Linked DNA regions of Caenorhabditis elegans. The protein of the gene in region 1 interacts with the protein of each later gene in a pairwise test. Each region holds a gene or a part of one and is shown in the gene's direction. Other genes may lie near its edges.

What was found.
Region 2: the proteins of ssp-35 (region 1) and ZK945.6 interact in a two-hybrid assay, tested with the Caenorhabditis elegans proteins (one large-scale study listed by BioGRID).

Annotation. Positions count from the first base shown.
Region 1 is NC_003283.11:12,262,997-12,265,845, reverse strand, and holds ssp-35 (MSP domain-containing protein), read left to right. Parts: upstream 1-2,022; coding exon 2,023-2,346; downstream 2,347-2,849. Other genes in the region: tbb-6 (Tubulin beta chain), read right to left, coding at 2,585-2,712, 2,767-2,849.
Region 2 is NC_003280.10:10,105,552-10,108,709, reverse strand, and holds ZK945.6 (Ovule protein), read left to right. Parts: upstream 1-1,739; 5' UTR 1,740-1,807; coding exon 1,808-1,838; intron 1,839-1,884; coding exon 1,885-1,992; intron 1,993-2,044; coding exon 2,045-2,212; intron 2,213-2,255; coding exon 2,256-2,599; 3' UTR 2,600-2,630; downstream 2,631-3,158. Other genes in the region: ZK945.8 (PPP1R11/YPI1 family protein), read right to left, coding at 1-8; ZK945.7 (uncharacterized protein), read left to right, coding at 306-444, 488-655, 703-1,080, 1,124-1,188; putative RING finger protein ZK945.4, read left to right, coding at 3,014-3,104, 3,153-3,158.

The DNA of each region.
Region 1 (2,849 bases):
CTGAAGATCTCAAATTTTCTATTATTTCGGTGCTTTTCAGTCAATTCTTGTCCTTCTTTATGGAATTAAAAATTTGACAGAACGTCAAATTATTATTTTTCCATGTCTCGAGCTTTGTTTTTGAATGAATTTTTACGGTAACTTGTTGTAATCTAGATCCAGACTTTATTTGAAGTTTCACCAACTTGGAAGAGTGCACGCCGAAAATTAATACGGATTAAACTTGAAATTAATTGCCTAAAACAATAAAATATATGAATTAAATTGAACCATGTCGTTTCCAACCTGCACCACATCTTTTACACATCTGTTAATCTAATCGGGACTTTAGCAAAACATTTTAAATAAAAGTTTTATTTTTTCATAAACATTTTCCGATCAACTTCAGAACCAATATCCGTCAAGAATGGAACATTGAGTTTTGTAAGAATTCTCATGTAATCTTCATCATTTACTGTCCACGAAATGACTGAAAATCCTTTTTCGTTTGATTCCCGAACGGCGTTTCTGAAAATTGATTCATTTTAATGTTATATTAAAATCAATTTTCTTACTCTGAAATCAGTTGAAAACTGATCATAACCACATCAACTCCTAGAAATCTGGGTAAAATATAGAGTGGTTGAATAATCATATTAATCTCATCAAGAATTTCATTCCAAAAATGAGCAAAGAAACTTGTGGAGAATGGACTTTTTCTGTGATCATCGCTGTATGAATAATAAGATCTATCGACAGTGATTCCTGAAAAAAAACGAATATGTTAAAGGCATGTTCTCAAAAGAAAAAATAATACCAGTGATAATTTTTGGATCAATTTTCTTTAGCCTCCACGGGACAATTGGATTGAAACTGCTAACCATGACCTGATCATATAGATTTCGTTTTTTGATTTCTTCAGAAACTGCTTCCATAAGCTTCAAGTTATCATTTTTCATATCAAATAACATCTTCAGTCCATTCTCCACACAAAAATCGATTGCTTCATTGAGTCGTGGAATTTTTGCATTAACTCCGCTAAAATACTTTTAGAATTTTTTAATCGAAATTGAAAACTTGCTCACTTAACAGGATTCAATACAACTGCTTCCAATTGTTGCCACGTGGAATGTTCAACTTTCAGCTTTGCATTTCCAGTCCGTTCAGTTGTATCGTCATGCATTAAGAGTGGAACTCCATCCGATGACATATGAATATCAAATTCAACAAGATCACAACCGTCTTCCTTTGCTTTTTTCAAACTTTCAATCGTATTTTCAGGAGCTCTTTTTGGTGATCCACGATGTCCGCCAAAATTCAACTTCTTGAAAAATACTTCTCGATGCTAAAATAATAAAAATGGACGAACTATTTGTAACAAGTGTATTTACCGAACTAGATTCACTTGTGTCATTAGAGGATTGTCATTAGAATTGGTACACAGAAGACAAGATAAATGAGAATTGTACATCTACCGATGATCAAAAGAAATGTAATTACAGTTAGTGTCATCCTGGAAAAAATTTAACTAGAAAATACTAGAAAATAACCAACTTGATATATTTTTTTCTAGAATTTTTCAGATGTGTGCTGTGGCTTTCATGTTTTATAAGGGCCGCCCCTTTTTCAGAACGTGTCTATCTATAATTTACGCCTTCGTACGTATTCGCCTAGCTACGTTCCAGTTACCTTACTTTCCTACATTACTGTAAACCTGAGTGCCCGTATCATCCCTTCGGAGGAAACGAGATTGAAGTTCTAATTTTAACATTTAGTGAGAACATATTTCGAGTTGACAATAAAATTGAACTAACCACAGGAAGAAGAACGCCCACATGATGAAACAACGAGTAGAAAAATAGAAACTAAAAATAATTCAAATTCTTGTTTAATTGTTTTTTAAATTTAAATTTTCCACATCATTCACGTAGCCTGATTATTTTATCAGTAAAGGTTATCTAAATGTCAACATTCTGGCAAAATTGATTAAAACGATTTATTCCCTTCTTTTGAAGTTGAAGACCATTACCGTCGTTTTGAAGAATGATCAACGTCGACCCACCAACTGGAAACTTCCCTGCATCTGGAGGTAATTCGGTTCACAACATCGTCTCGGAGTCGGATTCTCGTTTGGCATTCAAGGTGAAATCGTCGAACAATGAGCACTACCGTGTTCGTCCCGTCTACGGATTCATTGATCCGAAGGGAAAAACCAAGTTGGATATCAATCGTATTGCTGGACCACCAAAAGTTGACAAGCTTGTCATTCAATATGCTGAAGTGCCAGCCGATGAGACTGATCCTCAAGCACCATTCAAAGCTGGAGCACAGCAAGGTGAAGTCATCGTGAAGATCACTGCCGAATGAGAAAATAGATCTAAATCACCAAATAATCTGAAACACTAAATAATAAATGATTATTATTTCCTGCCTTCGGGCTTTTTCTCGTTTAACTCTGCCTATGAATGTTTCAATCAATAAATATCTGAAACGATTATAATTCAACGTATAATATTGTTCATTATCTGATGTGGTTTCCCACTATATTTGGTAATCATTTAAGAAAATTTTTTCGATATCAAACTGAAATCTCAACACGGAGAAGTTAGGCTGAATGAACTTTCTCATATTGTTGGAACTCCGAGATAAGATCATTCACTTTGTTCTCGGCGTCAGTGAACTCCGACTCTTCCATCGTGTACCAATGAAGGAATGCTTTGCGACGGAACAGGCCTGTAGAGTAGTTTCATACAATTTGCTCTAACTTCTAAACTTATGAAATCTCACCTGCAAACTGCTTAGAAATACGTTTGAGTGGTTCCTGGATTGCAGTGGAGTTTGCAATGAAAGTAGCAGATGTCTTGAGTCCT
Region 2 (3,158 bases), on another chromosome or scaffold:
GCTTGCATCGTACGACTGTGTAGTTGATGTACGAAATGAATAAAACTTTGAATTTTTTCCCTGGAATCGTGGACTTACACTTTTATTTATTTGACAATTTATATATATTTAAAATGCCATGATTCCACTATAAAAAGTTCAAATTTCAAAAAAATTTATAAATTTCAAAAAAAAAATTGAACTTTTAACGTGAACTTTTGAATTCCCCTTACCTCCCCCTTGCCACACTAACAATTTATTGCTACATACTCGTCCGACAACCTCAACCGTCGGATTAAACAATCTGCTCAATTGATTGGTTAGCTATGGCTTCCTCGTTCGACAACCAAATGGATCAGGATGGAATGTGCTCCGTGTACTCTGCTCAGCCATCGGAGACAAATTGCTCCATCAATGAGGTGCTTGCCAAAGAAATTATCGCTGTCAATGAGACGCCAGATGATCGTAAGTTTTTATTGTCTTTTTTTTGGGAATATTGAGTTTACAGAAGCTGATTCTTCGATCTACCCAATCCCAAAATCAGAAACAAATGTGTCAGCTAGCGAAGGGTTCCAGCCATGTCAAGATATCAATCAATTCAATTTGTCCGTTTACTCTGCTCCAAAATCCGAGACCCCAGTGACCATGAATGAGAAGTTCGAGCGGTGCAAAGACTGTAAGTTAACTGCAACAACTCTATCTTGAAAAACCAAAAATTTTCAGTGATGAACGTTCTTGACTACTCTGTCTACTCAATGCCACCATCAGAAGCAAATGTTACAATGAATGTTGCAAGCTTCTCGGAGTACACTGCCCTTGCCTCGGAGACCAACGTCACAATGGCTGATGTTCTCAAGAACGTTGCTCAGGATTTGGCGTCAGAGCACACTGCAAAATCAGCTCATCCAACATTCGACACCACCGCCTACGTAGAGCGCCTTCAAGCCGAGCTCGGGATTCCGGATAGCAAAGTGATTGGATTGGAGTGCAGCAATTTTTCGAATGCGAAGATCATTGATTCAATTGAATGCCTTCATCAGTTGGACAAATTCCAACCAATCCCGGTGGATTTCGATCAGAATCCTGATTTTGGAAAAACTGGTAAGAGTGAAGTTTATTTAAGAAATAATATTTTCAATTTCAGCCAAATCTGTGGAAAGCTACCTCTTGCGTTCATCCAATGCCAGTTCAATCCATCACGAGATCTGAAGAATCGGAACAAATTATTGAACTTGGTCTATAAAAAATGTCGAATCATTTTTGTTGTTGTCTATGCATTCGTAATTTCTTGGTTTTTTGTATAGCAAATTTTTTGATGACTATTACGATAGTTCATGGAAACGAGACTTGTGCCTGGCCGCCTTTTGCACACATGAAAGCGAGGCGGACAAAATGAGCCCCGTCATGGCTCCCGGGTTGAACACCTAACAAGACGGGAATTCTTCTAAAAAGAGTTGTCTTATCCCTATAAATCTGAAATTTGCATCAATTCTTCACCCGCCCTTGTTGCGATCTACCAGCCTCGTGGTTCTAAGTTACTTCTACCATGCTATTTAATGTTAACTGTACATAAAATGTGGTGCTTCTTCTCAATTTCCATTATTTCCTACTTTTTGAGAGAACTGTTCGAAAGGAGTTGCCTCTGTGAGCATCTATAAATTCTTTGTACAAGTTTTCACCAATCACGTGGCAACCGTGTTCTTTAAATTTTTATAAAATTAAATGTTTTCACGTCTTTCCTACTAATGCCTCAATGTTCATTTTCTTATATTCAAAATTTCATTTCAAAAAAATTTTCAAATCGATCACATCTCGAGAGATCATAATCATGGAGTGTTCTCAGGAAGATGTCGTCAATGGTAATTTTACTGAGTTTGTCATGCCGTCTGAACCGTAGAATTTCAGATTTCATTGCTCTCGAAAAGATTGGTTCAGAAGTGGATATCAATTTGGATGGAGTCATCAAAAGCAAGGAGTGTAGTAACACGAACGAAGCAGATATTATTAGTAACTGTGAGTTGCCTTTAAACGATTTCAGATGATCTTGAATCACCAGATTTTTCAGTGATAACCGCAATCGAAGAATCTTTGAGTTGTACATCGGTCTGCACAGCTGTATCATTGGAGACAGTGGCACAAAAGTTGGATGCCTATGCAGATCCTTCTTTGAATACTCAGATGTCTTTCAGTACAGCATCGGATTTGAGTTCTATGGAACAAGATTATGTTAAAGGTGGGATTCCGTCTCAATTAAATTTTAAAAAATTTATTTTCAGCTTCAGATGATCCTTTCGACCTCAATCATCAACCGTCGCCGCTCCAAGTCTGGCGTGATCAAGGCAAAATCACCGGATTTCAAATGATGTGTGATGATCAGAAGGTTACTGTAGTTGATTCTCTGGAGTGCTTAGCTCAATCGGAGCAACATTTGGAACCAGTTTACTTCGATCCACGTGTCAACCTTGCTATTCCGTGCCCGCCAGATGATTTTGAGATTCTTGAAGACTATGGTTCAACATCCAATGCATCAGTCAATTCGGATGACGCTTCAACCGCAGAACTTGGTCCGACGTCTGAAGAGTTTGAAGAATGGGTTCGGAAAATTGAACAGAACTATTGAATAGCTATTTGATAAAATACATTTTTTCTCATTGAAGATAATAGTTTTGCATATCTGACTCTGCGTCTCCAAAGTCTAAAACGAGTTGAAAACAACAACTGCCTAGGCCCCCTGTCGCCTCGCGTGTGCACATTATACTCTTTCTACTTTTGTTCCTCGCGCTCTCTTTTTCTAGTTTTCGAACACTCTCTGCATATCAAGAATATTCAAAGTGTTTTCTTTCTCTGTTTGATCTCCGGAAATTGCTCCAAATTTACACAAATTTGTGGTCAATTGGTGTCATCGCGCTGTTTCTTGTTTCGTATTCGTTTTTCGTATTTTAAACGAACATTTTCGTTTTCAACAACGACAATAACGAAATTTCCCATTCATTTCATACACTCGAATATTTTTTCTTCGTTTCCAGAACTTGCCATGAATATGCTCCGCTGCTTTCCGGAGTGTGGGATTTGCGGGCAGGAGTATTCAGAAGACGAAAAGCTCCTAATCCCTAGAATTTTGACTGGTACACCGTGTGTTTTGATTCTTAATTAAAAATTATTTTATCTTCCAGAATGTG